Daphnia pulex: one gene and its partner. The main gene of each other region encodes a partner of the protein of the gene in region 2 in a complex. Links are inferred from orthologs where the notes say so. Each region holds a gene or a part of one and is shown on either strand. Other genes may lie near its edges. The genes, in order: phosphatidylinositol N-acetylglucosaminyltransferase subunit H-like and phosphatidylinositol N-acetylglucosaminyltransferase subunit A-like.

The links.
Region 1: phosphatidylinositol N-acetylglucosaminyltransferase subunit A-like (region 2) and phosphatidylinositol N-acetylglucosaminyltransferase subunit H-like share a complex: the UniProt entries of both Homo sapiens proteins name them as parts of the glycosylphosphatidylinositol-N-acetylglucosaminyltransferase (GPI-GnT) complex. The link is inferred for Daphnia pulex from reciprocal best matches to the Homo sapiens genes PIGA and PIGH.

The regions. Positions count from the first base shown.
Region 1 is NC_060022.1:6,334,857-6,349,564, forward strand, and holds phosphatidylinositol N-acetylglucosaminyltransferase subunit H-like, read right to left. Parts: upstream 5,337-14,708; 5' UTR 5,252-5,336; coding exon 4,993-5,251; intron 4,932-4,992; coding exon 4,804-4,931; intron 4,694-4,803; coding exon 4,622-4,693; intron 4,559-4,621; coding exon 4,478-4,558; 3' UTR 4,415-4,477; downstream 1-4,414. Other genes in the region: porphobilinogen deaminase-like, read right to left, coding at 1-6, 86-158, 235-285; vam6/Vps39-like protein, read left to right, coding at 727-799, 935-1,138, 1,213-1,313, 1,394-1,597, 1,669-1,846, 1,909-2,156, 2,228-2,357, 2,428-2,570 and 11 more; lactoylglutathione lyase-like, read left to right, coding at 7,961-8,032, 8,091-8,206, 9,986-10,093, 10,160-10,227, 10,313-10,402, 10,483-10,562; zinc finger FYVE domain-containing protein 9-like, read left to right, coding at 11,531-11,588, 11,660-13,329, 13,396-14,002, 14,073-14,654. UniProt on the Homo sapiens protein: Part of the glycosylphosphatidylinositol-N-acetylglucosaminyltransferase (GPI-GnT) complex that catalyzes the transfer of N-acetylglucosamine from UDP-N-acetylglucosamine to phosphatidylinositol and participates in the first step of GPI biosynthesis.
Region 2 is NC_060018.1:6,037,900-6,054,148, forward strand, and holds phosphatidylinositol N-acetylglucosaminyltransferase subunit A-like, read right to left. Parts: upstream 7,806-16,249; 5' UTR 7,691-7,805; coding exon 7,674-7,690; intron 7,613-7,673; coding exon 7,456-7,612; intron 7,397-7,455; coding exon 7,217-7,396; intron 7,148-7,216; coding exon 7,029-7,147; intron 6,968-7,028; coding exon 6,852-6,967; intron 6,787-6,851; coding exon 6,695-6,786; intron 6,636-6,694; coding exon 6,430-6,635; intron 6,371-6,429; coding exon 6,285-6,370; intron 6,219-6,284; coding exon 6,035-6,218; intron 5,953-6,034; coding exon 5,805-5,952; 3' UTR 5,486-5,804; downstream 1-5,485. Other genes in the region: actin, muscle, read right to left, coding at 1-177, 277-404, 519-626, 696-834, 949-1,188, 1,805-1,930; anoctamin-7-like, read left to right, coding at 8,505-8,552, 9,073-9,255, 9,757-10,113, 10,470-10,529, 10,599-10,646, 10,723-10,865, 10,931-11,099, 11,178-11,604 and 10 more; potassium voltage-gated channel subfamily H member 6-like, read left to right, coding at 14,639-14,873; hybrid signal transduction histidine kinase D-like, read right to left, coding at 15,791-15,988, 16,083-16,249. UniProt on the Homo sapiens protein: Catalytic subunit of the glycosylphosphatidylinositol-N-acetylglucosaminyltransferase (GPI-GnT) complex that catalyzes the transfer of N-acetylglucosamine from UDP-N-acetylglucosamine to phosphatidylinositol and participates in the first step of GPI biosynthesis.

The DNA of each region.
Region 1 (14,708 bases), on a different chromosome or scaffold from region 2:
TCGTTTCTTTAAATGATAAAAGTTGTTTTATCTGAATTAATTTCATGAAAGGGGCCAGCGAAGCGCAAATATGCGAAAATATTACCGAGATGAAATGTTTTGTCTTCATAGTGTTGAGTGAGGAGATCGAGCACATGATTGCTTTGAACAAGCGCAAGCTAAAATCAAATATAGAATAACGTCGCAATTTTTGAAGTATGCGCTAGCGGAAATAATGATTTATGAGAATAATACCTGACTTTTGCGGGAACCGATACGAACGGTTGGTTTCGTCAAATCCGACATCTTCTTCAATGAATATGGTTCCTTGGTTCTTTCTGGGAAGGGAAACGTGATGAAGACTAGAATCTGATTAGAAATTTGATTGTGAATATGCGATAGTATTTCATAAACAAGATGACCAAGCAGTGAGGCAGCGTTGCGTAGAATAGAATATTTTGCGCTAAATACAAGGATTATAAAGAAAATTCACTTGAATATTGATAGGTCGGTGAGCAATTACACATTGACAGAACTTAGAATTTTTTAATATTTAATTGCTTGTATATTTTATCTTTCAGTTAGGTTGAATTATTCTGATTTTGGAATTTCTTTTAAATTAAATTTAGTGTGTGTAGTGAACTATAGATGGACATTTGTATGATGTCTGCTACAAAACAACAAATTCCCCCCCCCCTCCCAGTGTCATGTCAGATTAAAACACCATACAATTAGTGATTTTTAAAAATGTATGACGCCTATGAGGCGTTACCAATTTTGGAGAAATTACCTCTCCAAATTGAATCTATAGCTGCTTATGGTAATTTTACTTTAAATACAGAACCACTGTTTGATTTTAATTTATCAACTAGTCAACTGTGCCTTCTTATTATTTAACTATCCTTCATCTATATTATATGAATGGGTTTTATTTACATTGAAAATTTGTTTTCAGATGAACACTTGTTAGTGGGAACCCAACAAGGACATTTGTTGATGTACAGTGTTCTTCAAGGCGCAAGTAATGGTGGCAGTGCTGAAAGTTCTCTCAGCTCACGTTGTGAAGTCCACTTGCTAAGGTCCAACAAATATTTTGCCAAAAAACCAATACAACAACTAGCTGTTGTTCCTGAACACCAGATTCTTATCAGCCTTTCTGGTGAGCTTAATGTATTTAAGTGCCATTTGGTTTGTATAGGAATCTTATAACCAATTCTTCTTTATACTTTTCAGATTACCTTGTGTCTGTTCATGATTTGACAGTGTTTAATTTTCCAGTCATAACGTCACTTAATAAATCCAAAGGAGCCACATGTTTTAGTCTTGATGTCAAGGTAATATTTTTTCCCTTCCCAGAATCAACCAATGACTTTGATGGAAGTGACAAAATTAAACTTTTGTATTGTTCATTTAGAGACAAACTTCTTTGACTGGGGAGATATCAGTGGCAGTGAGGCTTTGTGTTGTAGTGAAGAAAAAACTGCAGCTTTTTTATTGGAAAAATCGAGAATTCCGGGAGTTAGGGCCGGATTTGTCGGTTTCCGATACTCCTCGGACTATTGGTTGGTGTAGAGAAACTCTTTGCTTAGGTTTTAAGGGGGAATATTGTTTACTCAAGGTATTTTTCTTTTGTAATTAACGATAATAGATTTGCTTAGGCAATAAATTATATTTTTTAACTTTTTATAGCTGGAAGGAGAGCAAAGAGATTTATTTCCCACTGGAAAACAGCCTGAACCTTTGGTATGTGCCTTACAAGGCGATAAATTCGCCTTGGGAAGAGACGAACAAACAATTATGATCGATATCGATGGCAATCCTTGCACCAAGTATACACTGACGTGGTCCGAGAGACCGATCCTATTAGGTAAAAGATACCCCAATATTGTTCAGAATATAACCTAAGTCGACTAATCAAAATGTTTGCAGTGGAGGACTCTCCATACATTCTGGGTGTGTTGACGTCTTGCATAGAGATTCGAGCAGCAGAGCCACGGCTCCTTGTCCAGCGATTAGAATTGCCAAAGGCCAAGTACATGACGTCAGTCATATCGAAGAACGGACAGATTTACGTTGCATCTCCCTCTCATGTTTGGTGTCTACATTTAGTCCCTGTACATTTGCAATTACCTCGCTTGCTTGAAGACAAACATTTTCAGTTGGCCATTCAGCTTGCGGTATGTTATAAATAAATTTTTCATAATTTTCGAGATGATGGGAAATAATGAGATTTTTCGTTTATGATTAGAACTTGTCTAACGAACCACAAGATATTCGCTCGCAGCAAGTTCAACACATCCAGTCGTTGTTTGCTTTCAATTTGTTCCAGAAACACAACTTTGACGAATCATTGCAGCTATTTTTCAAGCTTGCTACTGGTGATTAAAGAGAGAGCAAATGTATGAATTGAAATTATTTTACTAAAGAAAAAACCGATTGAATTTACAGATCCTTCTTACGTGATTGGTCTATTTCCCGATTTATTACCAGTAGAATTCCGGAAAAAAGTGGAATACCCCGAGGCTGTTCCCGTTTTGCAAGGTAGAGACCTCGATCTCGCTGTGTTGGCCTTGATTAAATATCTCACTGAGGTTGTTACAATTTTTAATATTTATTACCTACAAAGAGTTAATATTTGTTATTCAATTGTAGGTTAGGAATGACCTTATGAGTCAGAATGTCAAAACAGGAACCAACATTATGGACGTTGGTTCAAGCTTGAAGCTAAGACGTCAACTATTGGAAATAGTCGATACGACCTTGTTGAAATGCTATTTGTTGACCAACGATGCCCTGGTAGCTTCTTTGTTAAGACTACGAGATAACCATTGTCATTTAGCAGAGAGTGAACGAGCGCTGAAGCGCCATCACAAACATGCTGAGCTTATAATCCTTTACCAAACTCGCGGCCTTCATCGGAAAGCATTGGAGTTGCTTCGGAAACACGCAACTAGCTCAGAAGATTTTGGATCCCCCCTTGCTCATCATGACCGAACTGTACAATATCTCCAACATCTAGGTAGCCTAAACATGACTTTCTTTGAAACTGTAATATTTTTAAAAAAGGAAATCTTGTTGACTAGGATCGGAACACACGGACTTAATTTTTGACTTCTCCTCGTGGGTTATACAAAGCCACCCAGAAGATGGTCTTAAAATTTTTATTGAAGACTTGCCTGAAGTCGAGGAACTCCCACGTGCCAAAGTCTACGATTTTCTGTATAAGAACCATCGCTCTTTAGCTTTACCCTATCTCGAACATGTTGTCTACGAATGGCAAGATTCGAACGCTCTCTTCCACAATGCCTTAGCCGTGCTCTACAAAGATAAAATTCTCAGACTTGAAAAGCAGTTACAAGAGGATAACAATGACCCGGCAATTAAATGTGAATACCAAGATTCAAAAGCAAAGTTACGATCGTTCCTTGAAATTTCTCGGCACTGCTCTCCCGAGGCTATACTAGTTCAATTCCCATACGACTGTAAGTGACTTTAAAGATGTTTATGCTTTGGCTTTTTAAATTCTGCGTAATGTTACATTTTGAATTTTTATTATTATATATGTAGGCTTGTTTGAGGAGAGGGCCATTTTACTGGGCAAAGTTGGTCGTCACGAGCAAGCATTATCAATCTATACCAACATTCTCAAAGATTTACCGGCAGCAATAGATTACTGTAATATCTGCTACCAGTCTAATTCACCAGCAAATAAAGAGGTTTTTTCGTTAATGCAAAATTTCTCAATATTTCAACGACAATATATTCCTTGGTTGGTTTTTAGGTCTATTTTTACTTGTTGAAACTCTTACTGCGACCCGATGATGCTGTCAAAATTCCCGGTCTAGCTTATCCTACTGAGGAGCCGCACCAAAGGCAACCTGATATCGAAAGAGCACTGGAAACATTGGATCGATTTCCGTCGCGTTTAGACCCAGTTAAGGTAAGACCAGTTGTTTCTTATATACTTTAATTGATTAAGTAAAATTATTATTCATCTCCTTAATCACTAGACATTGCAAATCTTACCTGCTTCCATACCTCTTTCGGAACTTAAACGTTTTCTTCAGAGGAGTCTAGAATCTTTTGCATCCCAACGTCGAGAGCTGCAGCTTTTGCGTGGTCTGCTTTATGCCGAACATCTTCAAGTATTATTTCAAAATCCCTGTGATTAATAATACATTACTAATTTAAGCATTAACATGTAGGTTCACGAACAGAGAATTGAATGTCAAAATCAGAAAGTCGTGATAACAGAATCAAATATCTGCCACGTGTGTAAAAAACGCTTCGGAAATCAAAGGTAAGAGTAGAAGTTTTTTTTTTCACTTCAACATGGAATTAAAAATAAATATGTAAATTTTTTTAAACAGTGCTTTCGTTCGATGTTCCAGTGGAGAAATAGTCCACTTTTCATGTCAAGAAAAACTCATTTAAACACAATTTTAAAAATTTATTTTGGCACAATTGTTTGCGCTCTTGCATAGTTACAATACACCAATCAATCATGTTGCACTTTGTTTACTATTTGGTGAATGCTTTTATAAATATTTTTCAGGCAATCCAGTCTAGGAAGTGTATGCTATTTTGTGTAAGAAAAATCATTCAGATATGTTTTTTATAATGAAGAGATCTTTGAGTTTACCTGAAATATGGGAAGAATTTCTGTTCCATGTCCATACTTGAGTAAAATTGCTAAATAAAACAAAACCTGATGCTGACATGGAAAATAAAGATTAGTATTACACAAAAGCACTTATTTCAAAAGAATGTCTTATACTGCAAGATAATATTTCAATTTCTTCAAGACCAGGAGACAATTCATACCATTGTTATAGTTTCATTAATAACGACTCCCTGTATTCTTTCCCATGAAATGAACTTTGCAGATTTCCTCCCAGTTGCAAATATGGTGGTAATCTGCAAGCCAACTGTTTTCACAATGAGCAATGATTCTAATAAAATGATACAAGTCAGTTAAAAGTAAGTAAACACCATTTGGTTAATAATAAGTACCTTTTTTCACTTTTGTATGAAGTTTAATCAAGGCTAAAATAGCTAAAACAAAGCAAAGCAATGCCAGGATGTGTGTGTGATGATGATGTAAACCAAGATGAAGAAATATAGCTGTTAAAAACACTGTGCAAGACAGCCATCTCTCAAAAAGGAATGGTTGGCTATCGATTACATATTCTTCAAAAATAGTCCCATGATTATAAGTAACTTTTAATTGGTTCCCGTAAACATTCAAATATCTCGTACGATCGTCAAACATTTGAAAAGCAGACCATTTGAAAAATGCACACAAAAACTTTGCAGACCACTAACCAGTCTCGTTTTGTTGATCATCCGTCTGCCTGGTAGCTATGCTGCAATTAGGTTCTATTTAATATTAATTAATACATTAGTAGTTTATAATATTTAATATTCGATTTAAAAAATTAAATAATTTTATATTAATTTTATATTGTCTAACAAGTGACGCATTAAATAATACCTAATAGATTATAAAATAACTTACAACCCCGAAGATTCCATGCGCCGCCAATGCCACTGACGAGTGACTCTTTAGCAGTACCTTCTGAAACAAGAACGAAAGCACACACCGCGCTGCAGACTGAAGGGAAGCATTTGGACAGAACCACGTGGAAGAAGAGAACAGCTTTTAGCGTTCTCATTTTTGGCTTTCGAATTTCTTATTGAAGACATACCTATATAATGGGTTTTCCAGGTAATTTTTTTATTATTTTACTTTATTAGAGTCATCTATTTTGTATGTTCATGTTATGTTGTATAAATAGTCAAGATTTATTTATTTTAAATTGCATGACATGCCATGCTTTTGAGTTTAAATGTAGACATGTTCATCAGCCATTTTATGTGTCTGTTTTGTTAAAATTTATGTGTTAAGAATGCGCTAAATGTATGGAATCCAAATCAAGTTGACTACATGTATTTGTTTTCCAAATTACAGCATTTAGCCCACGTGGAGGAGGTGGCATGAGAGGCAGAGGTGGAGGAGGTGGCTTTGGTGGAGACCGAGGAGGTGGCAGAGGTGGATTTGGTGGAGACCGTGGAGGTGGCAGAGGTGGATTTGGTGGAGATCGTGGAGGTGGAAGAGGTCGTGGTGGCTTTGGTGACCGTGGTGGTCGTGGTAGAGGAGGATTTGGTGGAGATCGAGGAGGTGGACGCGGACGTGGTGGTGGCGGTCGTGGCCGAGGTGGTGGAGGCCGTGGTGGCATGGGCGGAGGAAAGAAAGTTTTTGTCGAGCCCCATCGCCATGCTGGAGTGTTTATTGCCAGAGGTAAAGAAGATGCTCTAGTCACAAAGAACATGGCCATTGGTGATTCAGTGTATGGTGAAAAAAGAATAGCAGTAGAAGAAGAAGGTATTTCATTTAACAGCTTTCTTAATTAGCTTGCAGTCTTTAACAGTCTTGTTCTAGGAGCTGAGAAGATTGAGTACCGTGTCTGGAATCCTTTCCGCTCAAAGTTGGCTGCAGCTATCTTGGGTGGTGTTGATCAGATTCACATGCCTCCTGGAAGCAAAGTTTTGTATTTGGGTGCTGCTTCTGGGACAACCGTCTCTCACGTATCTGACGTTGTTGGACCGGTAAACTGATTTCATTAATTTTTGCACTTAAGAATTATATACAATAACCTTGTAACTACAGGAAGGTCTTGTTTACGCCGTCGAATTTTCTCACCGTTCTGGTCGTGACTTGATTAACGTTGCCAAGAAACGAACCAACATTATTCCAATTATTGAAGATGCTCGTCACCCTCACAAATATCGTATGCTGGTAAGTCTGATGAAAACAACTCATCCGTCCACTTCAAATAATTTGATTTATTTGCTATTTAGATTGGTATGGTTGACACCATTTTCGCCGATGTTGCTCAGCCCGATCAAGCACGTATTGTAGCGCTTAACGCACAATATTTCTTGAAGAATGGCGGACATTTTGTTATTTCTATTAAGGTATACTTCCTTCTAAACTTTAAATTTACAATGGTACTTAATTGTTAACTTGCGTAGGCTAATTGCATCGACTCGACTGCCGCTCCCGAAGCCGTATTTGCCGGTGAAGTCAAGAAAATGCAAGCTGAAAAAATGAAACCGATTGAGCAATTGACTCTTGAACCTTACGAGCGTGATCATGCTGTGGTTGTTGGCATTTACAGACCGCCAGTAACTAAGAAATGAATTTGTTTACACAGTAAATTTGACAGAAAAGAATGACTGCAATCTTGTGTTTGTATTTTACTGTGAGCATCATCCGCAATTAATACAGTTGGAACCGTTTTACTTTTACCGCTAAAATTTCTGTAAATTACCACTGGAAAAATTAGTTAGTGATCCTTTTGTTCTCAAGATAAAGTAAGGTCTGGAGTGACCTAGTAATATTTACAAGCATAAAATAACATAGTTAATATAGTTTTTTCCTTGTGATAGGTAATCTAACACAAGTAAGAAATTTGATTTAGTCTTATTAGGGTGATCCAGCCGTGATGAGGCGTGCGATGTGTCATCTGAAATTGAACAACAAATCTTGCGTATGATACGTATGCACCGACACAATTTAGGAATGTGCTGAAGAAGTGCATTGCAATAGTAAATGTTATTGTTAATCCTAAGAAATACGTAGATAATTTAATGGTATGAGCATGAGCGACCATGAGTGTAGTGCGTAGTTGCGTAGTTTTGCATTTTCCAATTTGTAAAAATCGAACTCGATATGAAATTAAATCGATAATTCGTTGATAAATTTTTTGATACGTCTATAAAACGTCCAACACTGTATTGTTTTATTCTGATATAATCTAGTGCGGACGACGGTGCAACGTAAACAGCAACCTGCGGCCTTGTCCAAATAAGCAGTTGAGCTAACGGTAAGTGTTTTTCTTACTCAGGAATTCAGGATTGTATAAATTCTCTGACAAAAAATGAAATTGTGCGTTAATTTTTTTATTTAGAAAAAGAAATGGCAGAGTGTAAACCATTAAGTCCTGAAGAGGTGAAGGCAGCTTGCAAACATGCTGACCCTCAGACAAAAGTAATATTTTCATACTTTGATTCTTAAAAATGTTATGGGAAAATGTTTTTTTTTTCAGGATTTTCTCTTTCAGCAAACCATGTATCGTATTAAAGATCCTAAGGCCAGTCTTGATTTTTATACTAGAGTATTAGGAATGTGTTTACTTAAGCAATTCAACTTTGATGAAATGAAATTCTATGGGGTGCGGATTGAACACTTTTTCAAAAAAAAATGTTCAAAAATCGATTACCATATTTGATCTGAAAACAAATTGATAATCGATTCGAATATTGAAACCAAGTTGAAAATAAATTCAAAAATTGAAAATGTTTTGAAATTGATTTCATAAATTGATAATGATTTTGAAAAATGAAAATGATTTCGAAAAACTAAAATGAATTTGAAAAACTAAAATGATTTCGAAAAATGAAAACGAATTTGAAAAATGAAAATGAACTTGAAAAATGAAAATGAACTTGAATATCCATACAATTTCGGGAGTGCGATATGACACCACCCTACTCTATCCCCAGCTCTCTCCATAGCCATCTCCTATAGCCACCCCGAGACAACCGACTAGCCATTGATGGCTATGTCGCTGATTCCAGCCAGCTAGGCCGTCAGCGATACTCTCAGCCCTTGCCGGGCGGTGCTGGCCACCGCTGCCGCCACAACGGCAGCCGCTAAAGTCTCTCTCGACCGCAGGCCGAGTATTCTACACAAAAATAGATTACACGATCCAACGTGAAAAGTTTCATGTTCCTGCAGTAAATGACACACAGCCTACCCAGCAACGATGAAGACGGAACGGCCGAATGGGTGGCTTTCACCTGAGAAAAGTTCCAGTCACGCCTCGGTATGACGTCCTCGAGAAGTTCTCGTCATTCCACTAACTGCCAACTGCCCGGAAAGAAGTGTTCTGGTACGTTTCGCTGGATAGGCCTATGCGTCCTGTACTGCTGCGATACTCTGCCGTTCAATCCGACGAGAAGAAGAAGGCGGACACGCCTTCTTGCTGACGTGGATCCTCATGTTGGTGCTGGCCCTGCTGGAAATTATCCGCTATCTAAGCGGATTGGGGAGCTGGACTTCTCTATTGTCTCTACGTCTTTGCCATGTGGTCCACTTGCGCCGGAAGTGTTACCTACCCGATACTCTACGGCATTTATATAAAATTGGGCCATTCCAAGGAAGAGTTCGTTGGAAGGATGGCTCTGTCTCAGCTGCAGCGACGGATTGAACACCAAAAATTGGCGCAACGTCTATCTTTTCTACCATCATGGAGGCAGCGGACATGGCGGTGGAGGCCAAAGAAGAGGATCCAAATGGTCATGTTGCTCATGTCCGTTTCAACAGAAAAGCTTTTTTTTTCATGGCCGGCCTCAAATAAAAGTAGTCGTATAGGAACATGAAATTTTTCACACGTTGGATCGTGTAATCTATTTTTGTGTAGGGTAATACTCGGCCTGCGGTCGAGAGAGACTTTAGCGGCTGCCGTTGTGGCGGCAGCGGTGGCCAGCACCGCCCGGCAAGGGCTGACAGTATCGCTGACGGCCTAGCTGGCTGGAATCAGCGACATAGCCATCAATGGCTAGTCGGTTGTCTCGGGGTGGCTATAGCATCCGGAGAGAGCTGGGGATAGAGTAGGGTGGTGTCATATCGCACTCCCGAAATTGTATGGATATTCAAGTTCATTTTCATTTTTCAAGTTCATTTTCATTTTTCAAATTCGTTTTCATTTTTCGAAATCATTTTAGTTTTTCAAATTCATTTTAGTTTTTCGAAATCATTTTCATTTTTCAAAATCATTTTCAATTTATGAAATCGTTTTCAAAAGATTTTCAATTTTTGAATATATTTTCAACTTGATTTCAATATTCAAATCGATTATCAATTTGTTTTCACATCAAATATGGTAATCGATTATTGAACATTTTTTTTTGAAAAAGTGTTCATTCCGCACCCCATAAAATTCTCCCTGTACTTCATGGGATATGAAAGTCCAGATGACATACCTGCTGATGAAAAAGATAGGGCCAAGTGGGCCTTATCTAGAAAAGCAACCTTAGAGCTTACACAGTAAATGTTACACAGTTTTCTCACAAATAATTTTAAAGTTGCTTACATTTATTTTTCATTTCACAGTAACTGGGGAAGTGAATCTGACCCAGAATTGAAGTATCACACTGGAAACTCTGAACCAAGGGGATATGGTATTCTTAAACCATTATTTTCCCATTGTTAAATTACATGTAATTTTCATATAATAATGTGAATGTGTAATGTTGTATTACATAGGGCACATTGGAATTATGGTACCAGATGTTGATGCTGCATGTGAAAGGTTTGCCAACCTTGGAGTTGAATTTGTGAAAAAACCTAATGATGGTAATTTTATTTACTAATTTTATGATGCGACGTCGAGTCCTCGTCAATACTTCATTTGACATTTTTGTTCTCCTTTGTAGGTAAAATGAAGGGAATAGCTTTCATCAAAGACCCTGATGGTTACTGGATTGAAATATTTAATAACAATCTAAATATCTGAGTGTCTGAGTCACTATTTACAGCTTTTTTCAAGTGGATTAAAGAAAAACAATAATAAAATATATGCTGTGATTTGACTATATTACGTGTTGTTAAGAAAAACAAAAGCTTTGAAAATTCAATAAAGAGATAGACTACGACATGACCAATAAGATCTTTTTTTTTTTTAACGGTTAAATGCCATCAAACTCCATCTTTTTTCTTTTACAGTGCAGTTCTGGCATTAGAAACCAAGTATTATTCATGTGAAAAGATAATTTGCGGAAAACGGTAACATAGGAAGAATTCAAAGTTCTCGGAAAAGTAGTTGCTGTAGGTCATAGTCTATTGCGATTTGCGATTCATTCCAAATATTTTACTATCCTACGTATGTAAACATACTATCAGTAACAGACGATAGCATTATAGGGTGGATTGTCTATAAAAATTTAATTGCATTGCAGTTTAGTTTTCGGTTTTTAAAGAAAAATAAAACGCGGTAAAAAAATATCGGTTGGTGTTGGTCCAATTCTCTTATTGTTTTAGGTTTGAGGTTTCTACTTCCTTCCTTCTGATAAGAGAAAACAGGGATCGATATTCTTTTGGTATTATAGTAAATTATACGAATGACTTCATACACTGACAAACAGGACGACTGATTTCACCAATCACCATAAAACGGAAACCAAATTAAAAAATAAATAAAACGATTCCACTTCATAAATTCCGCAATTTATGATTCTTCGAAATTTGCCATATTCCATTTCCCATATTTTATCAAACATCAGACGAATATACGTAATAATTTGAGTGCGTCTGTTTAACACTACCGTCGGATTACGACAACGAATTGTCCGATCGGGAAATCCTTAATCAAATCATGTGCCAGCTATACAAAGAAATGACGTCCACTCATTGAAGTTTTTAATGAATTTTTGAAATATTTTTTTAAAGATATTGTGTGGAACATTGTCAACACCCACTTTTAACATGGAGAAGTTTGCTGTGGATTTAGACAAGGTCTTGGATGACTTTGAATTACAAGAAGGTAACATTATTTATGCTACTTTTCTGGTAATAATAAAAATAATTTTTTTTTTTTTATATTTAATATTTTAGACCAGGCAGAACAGTTTGTTAAGAATGCTGAAAAGTGTGACGTTTTGGAAGAAACTGATAAATTTCAGAAGCAGAACTCTCCTGGATTAGTGGATTTTACAATATCAGAACCGCTTGATGATTCAATCAATGGTCAACAGGAATTTCCGCAGTGTTCAAACCTTGTGGTTTGTGAAGTCTTAGAATCAAAATCTACTTCACCAGACACCTCACAACCAGAACAGGCAGAAATTGTTGAGTGTCAAACAGAAAATGAATTTATTGATGCAGAATTGAGTGTGGTTAACCCTAATGAACATTCCAGTCTACAGAATGAGTTGCTTCTTGATTTGAGTGAAGCTCTTGATAGTGTTCTTACTAAAGAAGAATCTGTACATCTCACAGTTGAAAGTTCTACCTTGCTTGATCAATCATTCACAGAAGATGTGGTCACTCAGCCATTGTTGACTAACATTATCATACAAAATGGAGCTTTTAATCCTCTTCATCCAGACACTTTAACAGATGATGAACTTGAAAGCTATCTTGCTGAATTGGAAAAAGAAGATGAAGGAGAACTATCTCAGCCTACTATTGATCTTCACACTGATGATCAAGAGGCAAATAATCATAAACCAAATTATTCACCCAGTACTTCTGAAGCTGATAAAGAAAATGCTGTTTCCAACATTGACATTGCAAATGAAGAAATAACTTCTATTCTGCCCTTAACAGAAGAAGGAGAAAGTTTACCATTATCTGACAGTGAAATTACATCAACAGAGGATTCAAATGGTTCATCATTTAGTGATTCTGATTCTACTGAAGTAAACCCTCAATTTCAAGAAGATTCATTGAGTGCTGAAGAAGAAATGCCCCAATTAATAGATGATCCATGTTTGGTGAGCAGCGAAATTATCATTGAAACCATGCCATCTCAGATTATGGTGGATACCACAATTGATGTCATTGAACCTAATCTTCCTTGTGCAGAGAGTAATCAAGAAGTTCCTTCGTCTTGTGAAGTGATTGATGAAATTTCTGAAACTGAAGAAGGTTTGCCTGCGTCTGTGGATGTTCAAGAAGAAAGTAACGTTACGTCTGTCATTTCGGGATTTTCACAAGGGGAAGATTCCCTTCTAGAGCCTTATAGTAGCTTAACTGAAGATGAACGATTACTTGGAGTTCTCAAGCCTGTTTGGATTCCCGATGAAGAAGCTCCTCAATGCATGAATTGTAGTCAGCGATTTACAGTCATTAGACGACGACATCATTGTCGTGCATGTGGACGAGTTCTCTGCAACAATTGCTGTTCTTCACGTGCCCGTCTTGAGTATATGGAGAGCACTGAAACTCGGGTGTGTTTGCCATGTCTGCAAGTCCTAAGAAAAGTTGAAGCATATAAAAAGTGGGGCGGTGTAACGGAGACCCAGACTTCAACTAACACAGTGGATAGTGGCAGTCAAAGCAGTTTTGATTCCACACCCGCCTCTAGTCCCTCCCCACATTTTCCTAATCCAGTTGCCAGAGTTAATGTCAACAATCCAGCTGAGTACTGTTCAACCGTACCACCCGCTATCCAAATAGCAGCTGCTGCTGCGCTCCCAACTCCAACTGTCATGGTTCCGGTTGGAGTCTTAAAGAAGGAAGGCACTCCAACTCATCCACGAACGAAGAGTGAACCCAAACAGGTTCGCAGTCTCTGTTATTTTTTATTACACGAAAATATTTAATATACATAATATTTTCCCTTTCAGGTAATTTTTAGCGATGGTATTCGTCCTGGTGGAGATCTAGCCGAGTTGGATGCATGGCGCGCCCCAGCGGGTGAGGCTCAGTCTGGTAGCCATCGGTCGGTGCCGAGACGTGCTCCAAAGAAGGTATCTGTGATTCCACCGACGTTGGTGCCGCAGAGCAATACTTCTCACCCGAGTAAAAATCAGCAGCTGATAACACTTGTTCCAACACTACCTCCAATTCTTAATGGACCCGATTCCATCGAGCAATTACACCAGACGCTAGTTGATCCCATTTCTCCTCCAGTGGTCTTTGCTATGCAGTCTAGTCAACCCGGAGCCGATCGGCATCAGTTGCTGGTGCGAGTTAAGTTGCTCCAGCTTGATTGTTGCGTGAGAAGGAAATGTTGGTCATTTGCTACTAGTGGAATGCGTTGGGTGGCTCAAGATGAGATAGTAATTCTATTGGAACAAGACTCAGTCGCCACAACTGATGAAAGCGTAGGAGAAGAACTACTACCCCCCGCCGATATATTTTACCACTTGTTTTCGATTTACGAAGAAGCTATGAACAAGCATCACGTCATTATTAACCTTGGACATACAGTTACTCCTGGGACATTTCTTGGTATTAACTTTTATTATTTTACCTTTCTGTTTTCATTCCAATATTTTGTAACATACATGTAATTTACCAGGTTCAACGGAACACGGTGGATTCTTGTTCTTCCGTACAAGTTTTCAGTGTGTACAGCAGTTACTTTTACCAACTCCTCCTTATCTTGTGGCAGTATTACTACAACGTTGGGAGATTCCTTGGGCTAAAGTGTTTCCATTACGACTTTTGTTGCGGCTGGGTGCGGAGTTCCGCTATTATCCTTGTCCGCTATTCAGCGTCCGCAAACGCAAATCAGTTTTCGGCGAAGTTGGGCATACTATCGTCAATCTTTTGGCTGTAATTACTTCGTGCAATTTCCAAATATTTCTATTACTAACTGTTTGTTTTCTCTTCCCTCCATTCCAGGACATGAGGAACTTTAGCTACAGCTTACCGGCGGTGGCCGGCCTTGTTGTACACATGGAAGAAAAAGAAACTAACATTCTTTTACCGAAATCTCGTTATCAGCAAGTGTGTAAAGCACTAGCCCAGTCTAACGATCATGTCATTTCACTTGCAGCATCGTTCAGTCCTCAAGCAGATGCTCATCTCGTTTGTCTTCAATTGGATGATGGATCTTATCAAACTCAAGCGATTAACATCCACACACGGCCACGAAAAGGTTAGTTATTCGGTATTTTATAATATAATTAAAAGAATTACTGATTTTTTTCTT
Region 2 (16,249 bases):
CATGGTGGTTCCGCCGGAGAGGACAGTGTTGGCGTACAGATCCTTACGGATGTCGACGTCGCACTTCATGATCGAGTTGTAGACGGTCTCGTGGATACCGCAAGATTCCATACCCAAGAAAGAGGGCTGGAAGAGGGCCTCGGGGCAGCGGAATCGCTCGTTGCCGATGGTGATGACCTGTGCAGGGGAAGAAGGAGAAGATCGTTACCACCACGCCCGTGACCGACATGCCTAATTGCTGGACAGGAGTCGAAAAAAAGGGGAAGCTCGTCATACCTGACCGTCGGGCAATTCATAGGATTTCTCCAGAGAGGTGGAGGCAGCAGCAGTGGCCATTTCCTGTTCAAAGTCCAAAGCGACATAGCACAATTTCTCCTTGATGTCACGAACGATTTCACGCTCAGCTGTTGGTCATCAAACCAGAAAAGAAGAACCAAAAAAAAAAAACAGCGTCAATTTCCGCTTCAAACAAATTGTCGTGAAAGTTGGATGGGATTTTGAAGGAGGCTGTTTTTTACCGGTGGTGGTGAAGCTGTAACCACGTTCGGTCAAGATCTTCATCAAGTAGTCAGTCAAGTCACGACCAGCCAAATCCAGACGGAGGATGGCGTGGGGCAGAGCGTAACCTATATTTCAACCGTAATATATCGTTGATAAATTTGTCTCATCCATGACGATTAATTTTTGTTTCGAACCTTCATAGATGGGGACGGTGTGGGAGACACCATCACCGGAGTCCAAGACGATACCAGTGGTACGACCGGAGGCATAGAGGGAGAGGACGGCCTGGATGGCGACGTACATGGCCGGGCAGTTGAAGGTCTCGAACATGATCTGCATTGAGTGGATAGAGCCATACGACCAAAAAAGGAGGTTAGTGGACGTCTTCTGTGGCTAGCATTGCGGTGATTTCGCGTGTCATTTTTGTTTTGGGGTTGTTATTCGCACCTGGGTCATCTTCTCACGGTTAGCCTTGGGGTTGAGGGGAGCTTCAGTCAAGAGGATGGGGTGTTCCTCGGGAGCCACGCGCAACTCGTTGTAGAAGGTGTGGTGCCAGATCTTTTCCATGTCATCCCAGTTGGTGATGATACCGTGCTCAATGGGGTATTTCAGAGTCAAGATACCACGCTTGGACTGAGCCTCGTCACCGACGTACGAGTCTTTCTGGCCCATACCCACCATGACACCCTGTAATAGTTAAAACAATTATTAGTCGTCGCCATCCAGTTGTCCGACAGTCGGCCCTTTCCGTTCAAATCCCATCCCAGATGTTGGGAGTTGTCTATGCAATAACGGGGAGGCCAAAGTTAAAAGAAGGAACGACCGGCACGAATGCCAGTGGGGGAGCACTAGCGTGGGTCCACACCAAGTCATCCGATCCCTGCCACACATGGTAGCGGGAGGTATATAGAAAAACAGAGATGAGAACAGGGGGGGGGGGTGGACGAAGCCAGAAAGATCTTGGGCTATTTTAGCACCAGACCTTCCTCCTTCTGGTGTCGTGGCTAATTTTAGCCAGCATCCGACTTCCCGCCCCCACGTCGCATCCTCCACCATCTCCTTTTATGGAAGTGCCGCTCTAGGTTTTTACATTTACTCTGCTGTTTAGTTATCCCCCCCAGTTTTGAGATCACATTTTACGGGTTTCAGGAAGTAGGAATAGATTTTTTTATATTTTTCTCTTCTTTCCAGAAGAATCCCGATTCTTTAAAAATCAAAATGGGCTTTTTTTTTTTGTTCTACGCTTGGAGTAAAATTTCCGATTCCCGATTTGTTGTTGCTTGTTTGAGACGAATTTTTATACCTGGTGGCGAGGACGGCCGACAATGGAGGGGAAGACGGCACGAGGGGCGTCATCTCCGGCGAATCCAGCCTTGCACATACCGGATCCGTTGTCCACAACCAAAGCCGCAACATCGTCGTCACACATGTTGATGAATTAAGTCTGGGGGGCGAGTGAACTGGAAAAAACTGCGAAAAAAACAGAACACACAAAATGAAGACAAATTAGATCAGACAAAAAAAAACAATAACAGCGGTGCAAATATCTTTTTCTCTGTTGTCCCTGTTCTTTTTTGTGAAGGAGCTTAGGGAGTGACGGGGCAAAGTTTTTCTAGAGCTTCGTCTGTTTTTGGAGGATTTTTTGACTGGCTTATTGGAATATGTGGAACAACTTTTTGATATTTAACTGGCTAGTTGGAAACACTTGTACTTGTCTACGATAAATCACTGTGGGGAATTCAGAAAAAGGCAACCGAAAAGCGACAAATAATTGCCGTTTTTAATAGTTTTCAAAAGCGGAAATCGTAAAAGAGTGAAAGAAGATTGCGTCGAAACGTGAGCTTGCATCAGATGGCTGTCCATGTCAAGGAAACCAAGAAAAAGAAAAGTATGTAAAATAGACAGCGGATGAGAGCCACTCTGTGCCTTCTAGAGAGATTTGTGATCGTTTCCAGATGCTCACACACGTTTACAGCGCTACGGCAACGTACGACTGGACACTCAGAAAAGTTGAAATAGTGAAATGTATGCGTGAGATTTACAAGTGCAAAAAAAAATTAATTTTTGATTGAAACTAAATGGAAAAAAACGGCAAATTTTAAATTGAAAGGATCCCTATTCCTGATCGCGATCGATTCCAGAATTTCCATTCCAGAATGGAACTAAACACTGCTGTAGTTATCAAACTCGCTAAACACTTTTTGGGGATTTTCCGCTCTCACTATTTAAAGTTGTAATGTGTAGAATAATGCACCACGCTATGTACGCAATACGTAAAAGAAGAAGCTGGACAAGAATATATTACCAGGTACGTTTGCTCTGTTGAGCTAACCGACTGGGGACGGTCTGGTGTACTGACAACTCGGAACTCCTCGTCTTATAAAGGGCTTGGGAGTGGCTTAGGGTGGTGGTCCACTGGCTTCCAGACGGACGAACTGGAGGAGGCCAAAAAGAGGGAGGAGGGTGGTGAAAACGAGAGAGTAGAAAGAAGAAAAGAGAAAGAGAGGGAAAGAGAAAGAGAGAGAGAGGAGTGTGCTTCAAGACGAAAATATCTTTCGCTTCTTTCGACGGGCAAGGAAGGGATCCCGCGTCTTTTTACTATACGCGCACACGAGGACCAAACATGGGCCTTTTACATCCCCCCTCATCGTTGGGAACCAACCTATTCCCTTTCCATATATTGAGCATTCGCTCCTCAAAACTACAAAGTTTAGGGATAAATGAGCATTTTTCATTATCAAGTTCTAATTACCAAAAGGTCTAATTGCACCGATACATTTGTTAATTAGAACAATGATTTCAAACTTACTTTGATAATTGATTTCAATCTTGTGCTTGATTGCGATCCTCGATGATTTGCTTCAATTCTACGCCCCCGACATTAAATCTGCAAATAATCTCTCTTTGCTGATTCTAATTTTCAAAGTTCCTTGTAATTCAATTTCTTGAAAGTTCTTATCTCTTGTTAGCACCGAAAGGAATTTTACTTTCGTTCTCTTGAAGGCCAACTCATAGTGAAAATATTTTGACTAGTAAGAGGTCATTAGCTCAATGATTGGACTTCAGACTTCAGACTTGTAGCGGTGCTGGACTGCAGACCGGCCATTTAAGGGTTGGGATTTGCGGGTAACGTGAACGGTAAATTGAATTGAATCGAGACGGACAAGAAGCTGTAAATCATTGAAAGAATTCGTCAAGTTTTTGGCCTCCTTATTTTCACTCAAAAGCCTCTAGGAAGTAAGCAAGCGAATGAATGGTTGTCGTGACCATAAATGGCGAGGGACGCCGTTTGGACTCCGGCGGCGTCACGACGCGTGGGGTGGGATGGACGCAAACCGTTTGGAGACCGAGGAGGAGGAAAAAGAGAAGAAGGATGGGAGAGGAGGTGGGGGGGGGGAGGGAGTGCCGAGTGAGAGATCAAACCGTAGAGGAGTAGATGCAACTTTTTGTTTTTGTTTGACTTTATTTTCTGTGTGATCCGCTATTTCTTCGTGGTTCTGGCGCCATTTTCAAAACAATATTTAGGTTTCTTTTATTTCATTCGTTTACATTAAGAAACCCCAGTGCTACTCTATTCTCTCTCACGAACGCGCGAGTTTATGCAATGATGAAATCCAGCGTCCCCACTCGAAAACTCGCGCGTGAATGTCTGAAACCACATAGTCTAGGAGTAATCGTAGCACAAATTCGGTCTAGAGTCTGCTGTGCTTCTTTCGGTTCTATGGTTGGCCATCCGACCGTGTTGTATAAACGTAATTTCAAACCGCGAAAGTTCTAAAAATGAAGTAGTTGATACACACCAACAACATGGTTTGTTTCAAAGCCATCGCGTCAGAGGACAGAGAAAAGAAACACGGAGGGAGAGGGGGGGCATGCAGCAGCTTGATTTGGTGGGGCCTATGTTTAAACGCAGTCGCTCCCAACTTTGGAGCGGGGTTAAATTTAGAACTTTTCTAACCGAAAATGCCCAGCAACACACACACGCAAGACATACAGACGTACAGACATATACACTACACACACACACACACACGCACACACAGGGCACTCATTGGGAGGTTGCCCATATGTGGCAATACTAACGCTCTATCAACCCCCTTAATTCCGCCTTAATTCTCATCATTCCTTAAAGTAGACTCAGTCATACCCTCGACACTTTTCTTATCGACTAATTACGCCTCTCAAATATTACCCGTCGCGTATGGTGTGCGCCGCCTCTTCGTTAAATGCTCGACATCTTGCGATAATGTATTAACATACTATGTTTTATACTTTTCCGCTGTACGGAATCTATAGGGAAACCGTAGAAAAGAGCTGACAATTTATCGCGGAAGTTGTTAGTACTGTTTCTATTTATGCAGCAAGTTTTCTCCTGCCTACTTGGCACCGATCGAGCTTCCTCCTTTTTTTCCTGTTTTGAAAGAGATCCAATGATCGCTGCGAGCTCTTTCATTCAGTATGATCGTATCCTGTTTCCGGATGATCGGATCGTTGCAGTCGTTTTGCCGGTCTAATATTCTACTTGGACTAAATGATACGTTTAATCTGCTATTGACCGACTCGAGTGCAGCGATGTCAAATAAGATCGGGTGACCAGACCTTTTCTTTTCTCCATCGCTCACTCTCCGCAGCGTGAAACAAGGCCGTTGAGAATAGACTGAGCATCAGACGGCCGCGCACCCGGTAGGGCGACCGTTTGGAAACAGGCAACATCCCAAAGACAAGCATCTAAAGGAGAGCAACTGCCACCATGTCTGTTCCTCGTACCAGAAATAACACACAGGAGACCAGATAGCTAGCTGAATCGAGGTCAATTTTTTTAACATTTCAAAAACGCAGATCTGTACTGCAAATTGTTGATTGACGCCAAAAAATGTAATCATGCGTGTCCTGCAAATCTCGTCCTTATAATTATCCATCAAAGTCCCTTTTTTTTGTTGTTGATTTAAAAAACAAAGATGCATTAATCAGACATCAAACTATGTCAAACTAAAATTTGGCCTATTAAAATTCACAGAAATCAATTTACACAGAATCAGGGAAACATGTTGATAGCACCTGGGAAATTTAACTCCGATGCATTTTGTAGTTTGGTAGCTAGATTTCCAGAGAAACTCTAAGAACACGCGAGCATGACTAAATATAGGTGCGACACCGGGTCTAATACCTTATAAGCATGCCGTCTCAAACCGCACGGTGGCAAAGCCAAGGCAAGGAATCTTCAAGGTGTTTGTGTGTTTTCTTCCTTTTTTTTTTTTTTTTTGCTTGACCGCCCTTGACGTAGTAGTTTTATAAGGATTACATCATAATCCTTTTTCGTTATTGTAATCCGGTGCGATATCGATCAAATGACGCGGGTAGAGCCACTCGAAAAACTGCAGCAGTATGTGACATATTGTGAAGATGAGAACGAAAAAGGGACCCGCAACTGGCCCACAGTTTCGGTATCTGCTTATAAGGGAAAATTCCAGGAGTCACATTTTTAGAAATTTTTCGAGCTTATCACATCATCATATATGGGCGTTATTTTTACCTGCAGAGAAGTTTCCCAACACTCAAACTTGGCTGCTGTTTGACGTCGTCGTAAACTAATTGCGTGCGAGTAGCAATGTCAACCCAGTTGTACGTGCGATGAATGAATTGATGACACTCCCATGGAGACATACAAGTTCCTTTCAGGTGGGAGTCGATGGCGTCATCCAGTGCTGAGACGATTGCTAAATATACAACGAGTAATTAAAGTGCCACTCAGCACTTTTAAATTGGGAAATAATTTTGTTTACCGCTGACGTCAGGCTGAGCCATGCGAATCATTTCTGGTGGGAGCACCTCAGGAATACCACCAACTTTAGTACTAACCACCTGCAAACTGTTTTTGTGTTAGTTAACAATTCGAAGAAAGATTTTATTGCGAAGGAAACTACTAACCCGCAGGCTGCAGCTTCCACAATAGCTATACAGTAAGCTTCAGTTAATGAGGTGTTTAAGAATATATGACCTCGCAGTAGTGTCCCGTGAACTTCAGATTGATCTAGTGCTCCGAGCAACGACACTCTTTCATGCAGCCCTTCTCTCTCGCGGACTTGTTCTAGTACGAGTCGCTTTGGTCCGTCACCTCCAATCAGAAAGTGAACCTGATTTAGGAATTGCATAACACTATTTCTGAAAGTAGTCTTAATTATTTGAAAATTACCTTGGGGTACTTTTTACAAATAATGGGAATTACGGAAGCTAGTAGGTCAATACCTTTCCTGTAGACTAGGCGGCTTAATGCAACAATTATTACTGAAATATTATAAATTATGCTGTTAATATTTCAGTAATTTGAGATTTTGCAAAAATCTAAATACTTTGATCTGTCTCCTTTTTGGTAACATCTGGTTTAAATAATGTTGTGTCTGTTGCATTTGGTATTACTGAGACATGGTTGGCAGGAACTTTAGCTCTTAATACTGTGTTTTCCTTCCTACCACCAGAAACAATTAAAATTTGATCGTAAGAATAATTTCAAAGGTGTTTGCATTTACCCTGTATGTGAAACACATATGCAGTGGTTTACCCCTGACAATGTGATTTCTAGAAGTTTATTGGTGAGAATTGCAGAGATGTCAGCAAACCCATTTAAGGAATGATCTGTGAAAACAGCCTGTAAATAATCAAACTCGTATTTACTTTGAAATTAATAATGATATGCATATGCTAGTAGTAAAGTTACCTTGAGACCCAACAATCTTGCTATTACAATACCTTCATGTGCTAATGTAGAAAAGGCTGAGTGCCCATGTACTATTTCAACACACTCTCTAATATAAATATTTCTAAAAATGGACAAGGAAGCGAAAAGAGTTGGGAGAACGACTTGGTCATGCATAGTTTTGATAGGAAGATAGTAAACCTGCAAAACAAGTGATTAACATTAGAAACCTCATTTGTTTAATCTTTGTTTTTCTATACTTTAAGGCCATTAGTCATATAGCGAACTCCGACTCGATTTCCGTAAGAATGAGTGATGACGATAACTTTGTGTCCAAGAGTTATCAGACATTGCGATAGGGTAAAAATGTGCGACTCTACTCCTCCCAAGTTTGGATAAAAGAAATCCGAGACCATGCTATCATAATAAGAGAAAAGAATTATTTTATGAAAGTTTTTCACAAACAGTTTTGCCTTACCAAATCACATGTCTCATTTTTTTTTTGTCTTCTGTTTTGACGTTTAAACGTCAAACAAGCTTGAAGTCCCTTCTAGCTAGGCGCTGCAGTCAACGCACTGCGCAAATTTTTTATATTGATTTGATTTTAAATATGGACTCCATTTAGTCCATTTTAAAACAATTATTACAAGCCGATGGCAAGAACTATTGTTTAAATCAAGATTTCCTGTTTCAAATTCGCAGGAAAAACTACTTTGTAAATGTATGTGCATTTCCCTACAAGAGCTATGGCATAGTCTAAGTAACCACGGAATAACCGCAACTACTAGGAATTTGCAGTATAGCGCGGGAATTTATTTACATGATTTGGCGATTGATCCCCTATTCAATAGAGTGTCCTTGGCGTAGGCAAGAAAATCCTTCGTATTTGTGTGGGTAGACTATTCTGTGCGGGTTCACCTTGGATGCACAAGATCTCTATTTATTAAAGTTAACTGAAACTTCAGCGTTTTCCGTCTAGCCGGCGAACCCTTATCCCTTTTTTGTGAGTTTTACATTACATGAAAGAGTCAGAAAGTGTTGAGTGGACACATGATGCTTTTCTAGATTGGATCCATCCCTTTTAAGAAAAGAAACAAACAAATGGCCTAAAAGGAAGAGAAAGAATAAAAAGAAAGCCAAATGGGCCAGTGGCGCTGCTGCTGTGGATATCCTTTGGTGTTACCCGCGGTGCGCTGGTCAAACGCAACCCGCACCTCGTCCGTGCAAGGTGGATTTTGATTTCGTTCTAGTGTTCTGTGTGCTGGTTCTCAGTGTCCGTTCATGTGGGACGTACCGTGTCAATGGTGCCATGCGACTAAAATGCATTAAACAACGTCGCCATAATCTGGCCAGATTGGTAAGCTGTTCGTTTATGTTTTGTTGTTTTGTTGTTGCTGTTGTTTTAATCAACGATTTCGAATGAAGCTGAAATCACGTGAAGGCCGTGAGATGGCATTTTCCTAAAACGCAAACAAATTTTATTACTTATCTTAATTGGTAAGAGTGTAGTCGTGTACCGGAACGTGTTTACTAATTAGAGCCATATACAGAATTCCCATTACTGTGTTATTTCTTAACTTTGAAGAAACAACTAGGTCATGATCGGCCAGCATCTTTTTTTTTTTTTTTTTTTTTTTTAACATTAAGAAATCTGAAAGGGGAACTCATAGCTCTGTGCTGGATTTGGCTCTCTACCTTTCACTCGGCGCCACCTTACTGTATGCAAATGGAATAACAAAATTGATTGATGAGAAATCTCTTTTTATGATATCATGCAGCGGGTTTTTCCTTGACATTTTCCAGGATTGTCTAAATATGATGCATGTAGTTGATATTTGATCCATTTCCTTACATACGAATCTCGTCTTGTATAATAGTTTGTGCGGCGGAGACTCGAGTCGAGGGGACACCACAAGGACGACAAGGGCCAGACGTCTAACCCATCAACAAACTCTGCAAAGGAGCAGAGTCCCTCGACGGAACCATCGGATGGAAACTTGGAAACAGTCACGTCCAGAAGACTTGGTCGTGCGGATCATAAGGATGCTTTTCAAGACACGGTGACGCATTCATCTGTAGATTTTTTTTCCCTTTTTTTTAAATCTTTCTAGTTGGTAAGGAATCTCGGGTTCATTCGTCTCCGAACCTGTAATGACGTGTTGACCGTAGTTCTTGATGATTCATGAGGTACTACGGTACCTTTTCAGATAAAGGTCAACACTTTTTGAAGATGACAATAACATTTTACGCTTTCACACGTTTTTTCCTATTTTTGGAAGAGTAATGTCATTGTAAAACGACACTGTTTGGTTATGCTTTCTACGTACGCGACCAGCTGTTTCCGCTTTGCTGGACCTTTTTGAAACATTTTACATAAGTTGTGGAAACAACTTCTAAAAGAACAGCGGGCGAAGTAAATACAGGATAAATTAAGTCTAGGATAGAAAATACTTCACAGTACTTTTTTCAAAATTCAAATTTAGATTTAGATTTTGTTTGACAAGCGAGTGATGTGCAACCATGATAATTTATTCTGATTTTTTCCCCTGTTCAACTTCCAGTACGTCGTAGTTGAGCCTCCACCGGAAGTTAACGACGAATGTTCCAGAGAAAATAAACAATCTAAACATTCAAAAGCTGTTGGCACGTACTTCCGCGATGGTCGACGAAAGATAGACTATGTCCTAGTCCACGAAGAAGTTAGTCTGGCACCTAGCCGAAGCAGAAGTCACAACACTCCACACCAGTCATCGACGCCCTTGCCATTTCGCCAGGAAGGGAAATCGCCACAGGGCGGAATGCTACCAATGTTATTGACGTCAGCGGTACACCACAGCACACCAAAGCAGAACCGGAAGATGGATATCAGGAAGACATTTCTTGATAAACTCAAGTCACAAGGAATCGAAATCGAAGAGGTTTAATTCTTCTTCATTTAAATTTAATAATTCCAAGTATTTTCAACTCAATTTCAGACTACAACCGTAGTTGTTATTAGCATGTGTCTGCAAGTTGATCGTGAGTTGTTTAAGTGCGTAAAACAAGAGAGCCCTAGATGTTAAAGTTCAAATCCGTGTTCCAAAAGTTACGTGACGTGACGTGACAATTGAAACGAGAGACGGGAGTCACGCTCAGGAACTGGCAACTCTATCTCTCTATTGTGAAATTCTTTTTAAATACCAGAGAAGTCTGTCAAGAGATGATAAGAGCTCTTAAAAACAGATTTTTCCTTTTTTTATGCAACTTGTTTAACATTTTTTAAATTGATTTGCAGGAATTCACAGAAGGGAAAAGAACTAACGTCCGATTTATCAAATTGCACGCCCCTTTTCCGGTATGAATTGCCGATCTATTTTTTATGTTGACATTTAAAGGTTTACGTAACGATGAATGTTATTCATAGTTACTGGCTCATTGGGCGGAGGAATTGGGATTTCGTGCAAGGATTTTGGTAATAAATTAATAATAGAAGTTCAAGAGAGAGAAAAAAAATGTTTAATATTCGACGTCATATTTTATAAATTTAGTGCCAGGCCAAGGCCGATGAGGATAATTGGTCTGCAAGACTTTTCAAGTCCTTCAGGCTACCAAACTGTTTCGCACAGGAAATTCCAGGTGACCCGCCTCAAGTTTGCTGCACTTACCCATTTAGACGGTCGAAAATCTCAACGTACGAACGTATTCTTTAAAATTGTAAAAGTAATTTGGTTCTAACTGATGTATTACGTACCACAGGTTGTTGGGTAATCTTGATTGCGAATCTTATTTTACATCAACGGAGCGCAGTCGAATTGTTAACGAGATTTTGGCCAGGACAACATATGGAGACCGACGGAAAGGTGAAGTCGGCATCGAGCGCTTGTTAAAAGAGGGCGTCTACACAGCCTCCTACCCTTTGCATGAGGTCAGATGAATTTTTACGACTTCCAAGAAGAAACAGAAAACTAAATCTAAAACGCCTTTGCAATAAATTCTATTTTAGGGTTGCTATCAAGAAGACAAATCTGGGAATCAAGACCAACATAAATTAAATCCTCGTCAAGTTCTGCATGGATACTGGGCCCGTTGGTCCAAGTGGCCCAAGTACCAGCCATTGGATAACGTTCGCGAGTATTTTGGCGAGAAAATAGCTTTTTACTTCGCATGGCTCGGCTTCTATACTGGATGGCTTATTCCGCCATCGATCGTCGGTGTGTTGATCTTTATCTACGGTCTACTAACCGTAGAAGAGGATCCTGCATCGACGCAAGTCTGTCACAGCCAGGGCCAATTCCCTATGTGTCCGTTATGCGAGGAGAGCCAAGGATGCCATCAGTGGGATCTTAGCGATGTTTGCACTTACTCAAAGTTGTCTTACCTTTTCGATCATCCGGGGACAGTCGCTTTTGCTATTTTTGTCTCTTTCTGGGGTAAGACTGCGATTGGTAAATAACACTTAAACTAATAAAGTAGCCTATTAATCGAACTCTGCGCTTTTAGCTGTAACGTTTTTAGAGTATTGGAAGAGATACAGCGCACGCCTGGCTCACCGTTGGGATGTGGTAGATGTTGAACGAGAAGAAATACGCCCTCGTCCGGAATTCGCTTTGAAGGTACTAAACAAGAAATTGTGTCAATGATCAAATAATTGAAGGTTGGAGACACTGTAAACTCGAGATTTCAGAATATTTGCTGCTTTAATTGAGAATGCAATTTGCTTCAGGCTCCGTCTATTGCAACCAATCCCGTGACTGGTATAGCCGAGCCGGCTTTTCCTCACTCAATCAGGCGAAAGCGGATAATGGCCGGCGTCTGCTTCGTTTTCTTGATGGTGTGGCTGCTTTTTCTCTCTCTTGTTTTTTCGTCTTACTTTACCGGCAGATTGGGTTGCAAAGCACATGATAATAATTCTTTGATGGCAGGTTTGCATGGTGATTATCTTCATCGTCGCCATCATCATCTACCGGATCGTGGTCTCCATTCCCCTCTTCCAGCACGAGACCTTGAAGTCGCAAGCTCAAGTTATAGCAAATCTCTCCGGTGCCGTCGTCAATCTAGTGCTGATTATGGCTCTAGGCCGGTTCTACGAGAAGTTGGCCTACAAACTCACCACCTGGGGTGAGCGAGTTGTACAATTTACTTACATATTTGAATTACCCAGGCGTCGCCTCAATTGAACTCGCCGTCATTTTCTTTCTTGACGTTTAGAAATGCACAGAACACAAATCGAGTTCGAGGATAATTTAACCTTCAAGGTCTTCGCTTTCCAGTTTGTTAATTTGTACGCATCTCCGTTCTACATTGCCTTCTTCAAGGGCCGTTTCATCGGCTACCCAGGCAACTATCTGCACATTTTTGGATTGCGGAACGAAGAGGTATATTATTTAATCAAACAAACAATAAGGATGTTGGCAATTAGGCAGATAATTTAGTTGTATCAGGTTAATGTTTTCGGATTTTTTTTTTTCGTGATTCAGTGCAGTGCTGGCGGGTGTCTGGTAGAGCTCTCGCAACAGTTATTCATCATAATGGTTGGTAAGCAGGTCATCAACAACGCACAAGAAATTTTGTGGCCAAAAGTTCAAGCCTGGTGGCAAAATCGAAAAGTAATTCATTTTCGTCCCTCATTTTCATGGCCAAAAATGTGATTGATTTGTTTCTTTTTTTGTTTATTCATTTTTCAAGGTGGATTTCACCCAAAATAAAGACAAGTCCAAACCATGGGAGGCAGATTATCAGTTGGTCGAAAACGCCGGATTGTTCCAGGAATACCTTGAAATGGGTTTGTTTCATGAACATCGTGACAGATTTTTAGAAGATCGGTGTTGCTGATAAATTATCATTTCTTGGCCAGTGATGCAATTCGGTTTCATCACGATATTTGTTGCGGCCTTTCCGCTTGCTCCGCTTTTCGCACTGCTGAATAACGTCGTCGAGATACGACTAGACGCGCAGAAATTCGTCTGCAACACCCGACGGACAGTAGGGCACCAGGCCAAAAACATCGGAATCTGGCTGAGAATATTGGAATTTCTTGTTCATCTGGCTGTCATCAGCAATGTAAATCTTACTCCAGTTGTAGCGATAATATTTGAAATAATTGTGATAAACTGCTTCTCATTCTCAAAACAAATTCAAGGCATACTAACATTTGGATTTTTAATATAGGCATTTCTTATTTCTTTCACGTCCGAGTTCCTTCCCAAAATTCTTTACCAATACGAGCACTCGTGGTCGATGGATGGTTACGTCAATTTTACCCTTGCCATTTCTCCTAAAGGTGCATATAAATCTAGAAATATTTGACCTTCATAAGCTTTATACCTTCTAATTTGCTTGTTACCAGGCGCAATGGCAGAGCCGTGCTACTACCGTAGCTATCGCGATGAAGACGGTAAACTGTCGGCTTTTTACTGGAAATTGCTCGTCGTTCGATTGGCTTTTGTCGTCATCTTTGAGGTATTGTTTTCGCAATCCTACCTATCTAATGCAATAAGTTGCTGACTTATTTCCTTCTTGTTCAGCACTTCGTATTTGGAGTGTGCCGACTGATTGACGCCGTCGTTCCTGACGTCCCAAAGACTTTGGCCAACAAAATGAAGCGAGATCGATATTTGGCCAAACAAATACTACAGGATCCGGATCATCACATTCGAGTTGCCGAATGTACATAATTTAATTTTTCAGCTGCCAACCCCTTAATGGTCCTATATTTTATATTGGATTTTATACTATTGTTTTATTCGTCATGTGGAGGTTTTATTTTTTTCCTAAAAGCCAGACGATTCACAAAAATTGTGCAATGACCATTAACATTCATGCGAATGTTTTGGTGCACACGTGATATGAGATTTAGTTAGCTCATAAATCCACAACGGAGTGAATCCGGGTTAAACTAATAATTAAGTCCAACATCAAACATTCCACTTTTCCAATGATTTTGACAGGGTGGTACATGCATAGTTGCATGGTGGTTTATCAATGACCATATATTGACATTACTGTACATATATTTTTCAATGATATTTTTAATCCAATTTTTAAATTTTTTCCTGTCCCGTCTTTCAATAAATGCATTGTTCCTTGACCAGTATTATTTTTTCCGTTTTCTGGATTCAAATTCAATGATTAGTGCTGCCACCTGACGAGCATAGTAGGAACGAAACTCATTTGTCTGCTATTATCCTCATTAGTTTGAAAGATTGTGGTGCTTGGTCGTTGCGATTTGAAGCACGGTCGAACCGTCGAAATATATAATTTATTGTGGCTACGCAAATTATTGTATGCAAGTCGTGAAGATCAAAAAATGTTTCAGACTTGACTTTCTCATGTACTCGTGAAAAAAAAAATAATAGGAGGCGTAACTCATTATCTTTTAACACTTGTAGCATTCCATGCTGTGGCCATGCTTGCTTCAGAGATATGCACAGTGGCCTCTTTGCTCCTCTTGCTGTGCTAAAGTGAATGAATTTGAAAGCTTGCCCCGTCAAAACTTTCGGGGTGGTGAAAGTAGCTGTGACCCGAAAAGAGCGTGCAAAAAGGAACATCATAATTAAGAAACGCTTCCCTGCTGCCCGATATCCTGCTTTACCTCGTGGTCGTGTGCAATCTGCTTCGACTTTTTTCAGCCCAGGCTGTGGTGGCAGTAGTGCCAACTTGACTTTACCCAGTCCCAGACAGCAGCAATTTACACAAAAAGGTAGGACAGCACAGATTAAATCTCTCTTTTATCTCTGGTTTTGGGGTTGAATGTTCTGCTGTTGTGTGCATCAGCCCATGACAGCTGTATAGTGTAGTGGCATCATCATGTACAGCCTTTTTAATGGCCTGTATGCTTCCATGTTGTGGAATGGTGCTACTGATGTTTATCTCAAATACTATGACAATGTCTTTGTGTGTGGTGGACTACTTTTTCTTTGGCTCTGACATGAAGCACATCCACTTCCATCAACTGCAACAATAGTAGACAGTAGCCTACATTTAGACATGAGAAAACATTTCAAAGATTTTAGGTTTTGTTAAATTGAAAAAGACGAGGTTTTCTTTTTTTTACCATCCACAAGTAATCCATTTGTTTATTTTATTGTTGGAAACATTCATATACATATGTAAACCTCCATTCCAGAGAGTGAAAAACGATTGATTTTTGTTGAAGACATCAGGCCACTTGTTGATGACTCCATACTTGTTTTTTTAAGCTTTTAAAAAGATATTTGATGAATTTTTAAATTTCAATTGGACGCCGCTTTGTACTTGCAATTAAATATCAATGGAACGGCTTTTTTTCCCCACAAAAAATATCAACATGGTTGTTGGATCATTGCCAAAACGGAAGCAGTAGGGGTGATACAAAAAAATGGTTACCAGTCCGAAAAACACAAGTAATGAATAAATGTTGTTGTCCCGGGAAGAAGAAGGAAAAAACTGAAGCGACTAGGTATATATATATATATGGAAAAAAAGACACCTTCAAAAGAAACTTGAGTATATATAATATAATATAATAAGGGTAAGAGTCGTTGAAATTAACAAGTAATGGGGGGAGAGAAGAGCGATGTGTACAATTGTTTACATTTAAAAAAAGTTACGAGGCTACCGTTTTTTGTTTTTTCCTTTTTATTCGACGCCTTTTTTACGGGTCAGTTCGAGTAAGACACTCGAGTCGATGTCGACAAAGTTGTTGGCGTGTTCCAGGTAGTCTGCCAAGAGCCCGGACGATGGGCGGTGCAGCAAGAGTGGGCAAGGCAAGAGCTCTTGCATCACCGAGTGGTGAACGATCAAAGAGGTGAGGCTCGGAAATTCTTTGGTGAATCCCTTAAGAAATTAAAAGAAAAATTGAAATTAAATATTTGAACGACAAAAACAATTTTGATTGGTGAAGAATTGGGAGCCAAAACTCTGTGCGTACCTTGATTTTGAATCCTCGGTTGGTCTGCGTGATTAGATAGTGAGCAATGGAAGGTTTCTGACATTCTTTCGGCACACGGACAGATAGAGCGTAGCAACCTGGTTTCGAAGTCGACTCACGAACCAGGAACGATCCTACGGGCTCCTGTTGCAATATCTCCAAAGATA